Schizosaccharomyces pombe: one gene and its partner. The gene in region 2 interacts genetically with the main gene of each other region. Each region holds a gene or a part of one and is shown on either strand. Other genes may lie near its edges.

Evidence for each region.
Region 1: mutations in mrf1 (region 2) and xap5 together harm fitness less than expected from each alone (positive genetic interaction), as found in Schizosaccharomyces pombe (one large-scale study listed by BioGRID).

The regions. Positions count from the first base shown.
Region 1 is NC_003421.2:753,177-756,819, reverse strand, and holds xap5 (splicing factor, xap-5-like protein), read right to left. Parts: upstream 1,569-3,643; 5' UTR 1,564-1,568; coding exon 1,415-1,563; exon of another isoform or gene 1,352-1,414; coding exon 634-1,351; 3' UTR 530-633; downstream 1-529. Other genes in the region: SPOM_SPCC1020.13C (DDHD family phospholipase), read right to left, coding at 2,189-2,685, 2,727-3,467, 3,531-3,643.
Region 2 is NC_003424.3:568,573-572,438, forward strand, and holds mrf1 (peptide chain release factor), read left to right. Parts: upstream 1-1,595; 5' UTR 1,596-1,663; coding exon 1,664-1,834; exon of another isoform or gene 1,835-1,976; coding exon 1,977-2,075; exon of another isoform or gene 2,076-2,161; intron 2,162-2,180; exon of another isoform or gene 2,181-2,312; coding exon 2,313-3,233; 3' UTR 3,234-3,304; downstream 3,305-3,866. Other genes in the region: phospholipase D Pld1, read right to left, coding at 1-705; putatiRho-type GTPase-activating protein Rga8, read right to left, coding at 3,422-3,866.

The DNA.
Region 1 (3,643 bases), on a different chromosome or scaffold from region 2:
CATTCGTAAAAGCGACATGCTTATACTTCCAAGAGAACGAAAAGCGAATTTCATTTCTTATTTACAATAGAATAGTTATTCTCATCATTCAGTCACGATCACTTTTTTCTTTACCAAAAATTGTATACCTAAATAGCACAGTATAATCCACCGCAAATTAACGTATCGTTAATATGTTTATGATCAAATACTATGTATTTGCATACCAACGCTGCGATACATTAAATAAAAACAAGCAGAAATATGAGAATTCAATAATAAAGGAAACATTTAATAATTCCAAAAGCGAATTGCTAATTTTTTAATTACTTTATTTTACAATATCCTATAGCACATCAATGAAATCAAGGTTTTCAGTCAAGGTTGGAGTGATGTTGAGAGTAGTAAGTGTAAATACTAAAACCCATTGCGAATACTTAGTGGATAATATCTGTTTCTTTTTTACCAAAGTCTCTCTCTTTGTATAGCTTATCAAGTTATATGTTTGGCGCAATTCATTTGTTTAAAATACAAACATAAAAACAATATAGTTGTAATGAAATTGTTATTAAATTAGTCGATGAGGGAAGTATGAGTATGCAAAACAAAAATAAAGAACCAAGAGAAAAAAAATCGAAAACTTTTTAAAAGGCATTATGAGGGCCGGTAAAATAATGCAGCGTTAGGATCAGTTGCATGCTTTTCCAATGAATAATCTTTTCGAGAATCAAAGACTTCCCAATGCACACATGGAAACACATGGCGATTTTGTAAATAATATGATTTTTGAACTAGATGAGGAATGCATTGAGAAGGAAGTTGTGTAGTTGCAACCATTTCTGGACTAGAGCATGACAGCTTATCAAAGTCAAATAAAAGTCCATCACGTCCTTGAACTTTATTAATGTAAAAGTAGTAAAGCTCATGGTGATGGGGAATGATTAAATCAGATTGAACCAGTAAAAATTTATCCATATCCAGAATCCTCTTCAAAAATGGGATTTGCTGTTTCATATCAGCAAGAAAGTGTCCAACCGAATCTTTCAATCTAGTCCTTACATGATAAGTGGTACTTGTTCCATCGTAATAGATAAATGGTATCAAAATCTCTTTTTCCCGAATTTGCTCCTGCTCTTTTAGCCATTGTTTGCGATATTCGGCTCGCTTCGCGTTTTCACGTATTTCTCGCTCTGCATCTGGCAAAAAGGAGGTATCCGCAGATGGATCCTTTCCCATAAACATTTTTTTCTCAACTTTTTTTAAAGGTAGATCATCATTCTCCAGTTCTTCATCTTCACCAAAAGAAAGTTTTCCTTTGTTAACTTTAATGCCCTGTTTGACCTTTTTGCTTAAAGCATCTTTTCTCTTTTTTCTAAAATTGAATTGTCAGTCATATTTAGAATACTATCGGGCTTTTCTCGTTCTTTTCACTTACATTTTAGTACTTGTGGTTGATAGCGCATGTTTCTCTCGTTTTTCAACGATGTTTTGTTTTACTCTTTGATAATCCTTTAAATGGACTAAACCAGTCGTACTATTTCGTAAAATCTCATGAATTTCATCGGCATCAGTATGGCCGCTCATTGTATGAAGAATTCAAAAAAACGTGAGTGGTGAGCGTTCTTCCAAATAAGCTTGAATACCCAAAATACCCTTTTTTTGCCTCGGTTTTCAAATCTCAAAATGAAAGAAATGACTATTACTATATTTATCGTAGAAGAAGAACATGTTTTTTACATTTACCTATGAGGGATCCTAGAATAAACGCACACTTTGCCAAAGTCACGTTGCATATAAGTTTTTTATATTTGTCAAAACGGTTATTAAATAGAATAACAACGAGGTGGGGCACTTTGAAGCATTCTGTAATCTTTAACTGCTTGTATAGACACTTTTTAAAACCAATCTAGAGACAAATAAAACGAATTACTCGTTTGTATTAACAAGCTTTGGAAAAATAGCAATAGATTAAAAACAAAAAAAAAACTAGCTAATCACTAGTGTTGCTATAAATACTCTAATAAATTTTCGTATCTGGTCATTGAATGCAAAACCATCTTTCGAATGCCAATATATAAAGTCATTAAAGTGATCCTAAAAAATCATCATTATCCAATGTTCATCAAATTCATTTTAATTTGTCCACTTCGCATCGCTAATAAATATGAAGCTCGCTGGTATACTGTCAGATAAAATAAAAAGAAAATTTTCAAGAGCTGTCCCCTTTGAATATACGTGGCATATGCTTTCCACGAAATTGCTCAATTGAATTGGCAATACCAAAGTTTCGGCCAGTTTCCACTACTAAAAAGCAAGCAAGATCCTCACTACTCCAGTAACTGCTATGAGCCGAAAGCATAGAAAGATATTTGTTTGAAATGACCCCATGGGCACTCGTAAATACGTAGTCCAACTGAGAGTTTTCATTCAACTCTTGCATGCGCCACTTGGCCCTTTCTTCTCTGCGAAAATTGCGAGTCTCTAACTCGACAGTCTGTTCAGGCTCCAGTGGGACCACTGCTGTGGGCTCATTGTTTTTATTTTGCTGCAAAGATTGATTGTAACTTCGAAGTTCCACAGGATCAGTATTAGAATGTGAGATCATTCTCAAAATACTTGAAGATTTTCTTGTGAACAGTATACGAGTTGGGTGGATGCCTTTCGAAAATGAGAGATCCACTGTGGGATTTAATCGCATCGCAACGGCTAATTTGTTAGTAAATACGATAATTTAATGATGCGCTTACGATCAAGGTGATTATAGATGTTATAAAAAGAGTCGACTGCGAGACATCCGTACCGATCATAACCATCGTAAGTATATGACTTTGGAACATCAGAATTTATAAAGTTTTTATTTATTTCGTATCTTGATGAGCCTCTTCCACGACGAGGAATAATACTTTGTTGATTCAAATGCAAAAAAAAACCTACCGGACCACCAAAACAAAAAAAACCGTTTGTGTCGAATATAAAGCAGCTTTCATCATCGTCTATAGTAATTTCTTTGACAAAAGTGGGTTGAAGTGACAAAATATCAAAAACAACTGTGGAGCCCAAAGAATGCCCAATTATAAAGATACGGCCCTTGTTTTCTAAAAAGTAAGGATTGCAGTCCTTCCACAAATGGTAAACCCTATTAGCTTCACGAATTACAGACTTTATAATGGATTCTTTGTGATGAGACATATAATAGGGAATATCACTCATCACATCTCCTAATAACCTTCGCACCGCTGGAATGCTATCAATTTCAATATCCTCAATTGAAAATCGATTTTCTTCAAATTCTTCATCCTCAACCCGTCCTTCATCACCGGCAACTGGCTTTATATATGAATTAAAATTAAGCTTATTTCTCCAACATATCGGAAGAAGTTGTGGTTCATAATCGTTTCGAATCAACGGATCCTCTTTCATTATGTTTTTCTGAATTTGGATCAATGAACGAAAAACGTTGCACGTCTTGGTAAATAAGAATCGTTCCTCTATATTGTCAACATTAGTAATTGAATGCCGGTGTAAGATAAAAAAAAATCAAGTTTACTTACCAGTCTCTGATCTTTTTTGACCGATACCATGAACCACCAAAAAAAGATCTGTAACTTGTTTAGGTCCATTAAAACCATCATCTTCAAAGTAAGGAAAATCTCGAACGACCGGC
Region 2 (3,866 bases):
ATATTCAACTTGAATTGTGAAAGTACTGTGTATGCGATTATGTTTAGGCTCCACATCAAGCACTGAGACCTTTATTAGGTCGGTAATAATAGGCAATACCGGCTGCCCAGATTTATCTCGAATAAAATGCTTGGCTATAGGTAAAGATGCAGGTATGCCTGCTTCGAAAAGATTAATAGCAGGCAAGTTCTCCTTTAATATAGGCTTTTCATCTTCCCTTTTAAATTTGCGAACAGAAGCCATTAATTGTGCCCACATTTGTCTGGCAGAATTACGGTTTGCCTTACTTGTATGGGCAGCAGCTGCATCACGTTCGTCTCTCTCTAAAGGAGGAACTTCAACGTTCTCATCCTCCATTGTCTGTGTGATAAATTCTGGAGTTTGCACTCTTGTACTATCATTCGCAGCAAGATCGTTAACGTTTTCAGAGGCTGTATGCCAAGAAGACCCCCGGGTGTGTTCCAAATCGGGCCGTTTTGGAGGATTTAAATTAACAAATTCAGAGTAGTTTTTTGGATCATTCTCAGGAAACGATGGAATAGAATGGTCGACGTTTTTTTCAAGATCTGTAATTTTGGATGGTGTGTGATCTTCTGCATCTTTCCGTCCTGTCCCCTTTTCAGAGTAGATGCTATCATTTACATTTGTGTTTAACGAATAAGGTACATTATCAATCACTGAATTTCCACCTTGATGAATTGTCATTTTGTTATTAAATTAGCAATTGGCTAAAGTTTTTTTGAGACTCAGGGAAATCCAAGTCCCTATGGAGAAAAGCCAATGCTTTATAAATGAGTAAAAGCCAAGAGGGCTTTATTGAACAAATCCCAAAAACAGTTTAAGTGGTTTGGTAAAGCTTAGCTGCGCATTTCAAAATGAATAATACACCATCATGAAAGCTTGGTTAAAGTTTCGTTTAACTGCGCTAGCATAAATAAGGAAACTTTATGAACAATACAAATGTTTATTTACATCGCTATTGTGTAGTTTAATGGTATTTGTCCAATGGATATCGATGCTTCCTACAACCAAATTATTTTTTCTTGAAGAGTTCGTCTCCCTTTTATTGTAATCGTCGAGCAAGAGTTTGTTCAGCTCAACTTACATTAGCTTATCAAAATTAACAATACATATCTCTACTAGTTGTCAGCTATTCCTCACTAAATTATTATTGCACTATGTTAAATACCACTATATTGATTTACGTTTCCACTTTCAAAGTCGTTAATACAGCAAAAAGCTACACAAATGCCCTACATGAGACTTAGATATTTGCGTATTATGCTATTATAAACAATGTGCCTACGTTCCTCAATTCCCTGATTATTATACTATGCAGCATAGTTATTGCTAGCCAAATTAATTATAACTGTATTCGTGGCGACTCTACTCATAAAATAATAGCAAACTCTTTCTAGGTGTATAGATTCGTAAAAAAAATTTACGAGTTAAGAATGCGTACACAAAATTTTACTTTGCTGTGCACTGTCGGATTATAATGCATATCCGACAGAATTTGCAAGGACCTCCTTAAATATCATAAAAGTACTTATCGAAGAAGCACACCAAGGTCAGAAAGGCGGTTTTAACAGGTTAACACTAATTAGTTTTACTGCTAATTCTTTGAGTATGCAGAAATAAAAGAAACTCAAAATACAAGGTGATGCTTCTAACTAAAAAAGTTTTATGGTACTTTAGACATGGAATTGAATATCAAATTCGTAGCATTGCTTGCAAAAAAGGATACTCTGAGCATAACGTTTCAAGAGTACTTATTGAAAAAGCCCGATCGCTTTCTTCAGAGTATCTTCAATTCCATCAAGTAAATAATAAAGTAAGTGTCGGCAAACAAAGTGTGAAATCAGCCTGCTACTGTTCGAGATACAATAATAATGGTAATACAAGCATACCGGACATTAAGCTTTACTCATGAAAAATTAAAATCTGATATAAATGATCTAACTTATATCTTTTAGGATCAATCGGCAATGACAAACGATACAGATTTAGCAAAGCGAATCGCTAGGCTTCGACGCGTTCATAATGCATATTCGAAATTTAAAAGTTTGTCTGAGGTATGATATAAGACGAATTTGTCTCAAACTTGTAGTCAAAAGCTTTCCTTTTTTTTATTACTCTTCCTATTTATAGTAATCGATTTACAATGGTTTTTTTTTGCTAATGGGTCTATAACTTAAGACTTTTGCCAGGCATTTACTGTTTATCTAAGTAAAGCTATTTGATGAGCATGTTGAAATACTTAAATAACTAGTTTTTGAAAACCTTGATTTAAAAAAATTCTAACAATTTAGCAAATAAGCGATTTGAAACAAATGGAGGCCCAAGAGTCAGATGCAGAGGTTAAAATGATGGCAGTGACTGAAATAAACGAAATAAGTAATAAAATACCAAAAAGCATAGAAGATCTTGAAAACACATTACTTCCACAAGCTGATTCATATGCTCTTCCTGCATTAATCGAAATTCGTCCTGGTGTAGGAGGAACAGAGGCCGCAATATTTGCAAATGAACTAGTGGAAATGTATTTTCAGTATGCAAATTTTAAAGGATGGAATTGCAAATTTATATCAAAAAGTGCAGTCCAAGGACTTGAAGCGATAACGGAGGCCATCTTCTCTATTGAAGGTGAGGGAGCTTATGGTCATCTTATGTTGGAAGGAGGTGTTCATAGGGTTCAGAGGACTCCTGCTACCGAAACTAAAGGAAGAGTTCATACGAGTACTGCATCAGTAATCGTTTTACCTCAGGTGTCAAATGATGAATCCTCTTCTCTTTACGATTCATCTGAAGTTAAAATCGAAGTAATGAGATCTCGTGGAGCCGGTGGACAACACGTTAATAGAACAGAATCCGCCGTACGTTTAACACACATACCCACTGGTATCACTGTTAGCATGCAAGATTCTCGTTCTCAGCATCAAAACAAAGAAAAGGCATTTCTTGTACTGAATTCAAGATTGGCTGCCTTAAATGCCGCAAAAGAAAATGAGGCTGAAAGACTGAAACGTAAAAATCAAGTAACGTCTTCAGATCGTTCGGAAAAGCTACGAACTTATAACTTCAACCAAAATCGAGTAACTGATCATCGGATAGGTTTAAGCATGCACGATTTATCAACATTTATGCAAGGTGAAGAAAAATTTGACGAGTTTTTGGAAAAAATAAGAATATGGAATCGTGAACAGTTGCTATTACACTCTGAAATAGTATAGGAATGCTAATTTAGTCTAGTAAAATAGGAAGGTACAATAATATATGGTGGTCAAACTTCTATAGAGAAAAATGTTTATTAGGTATATGCAATGAATAATGAGAAAAGAATGTGCAACATGTCATGCAAATAAGATATCCATAACTGATCTTTAAAAAAGATCATAGGTTAACTCATAATAACATATTTTTAACTACCACTTAAACTGGAATCTCTTGAGGCGACTGCTTCGTTCACTATCTTTGCATCCTGATCAATAAAGATTGCGGCACTTTCATTGGAAGCAGAAGAATGGCTGAAATTACGTCTTGTCTTTCTAGTATTCAAGGCATACGACGATCTGATCAATGAGGTGGGCACATTTTCAAGAGTAAATTCAGATTCAGCGGGAATTTCTGAAGGTTGCAGCTCCTCAAACGAAGATCTTGGAGATTCGACAGCAGTATGAGATCGGACAGAAGAAATGGAGTCTGGTCTAGTTGGTGATACATCTGTACTCCGAGGAGTAGCAGAAGATTGATATAATACACGGTCAGAAACACGTTTGGATGAATTCAATTTTCTGAGTTCTTCAAAAATACTTGGTCCGTAAGTTAAAAGATCCTCCATGAACTTCGTTGGGTGCTTATCATGT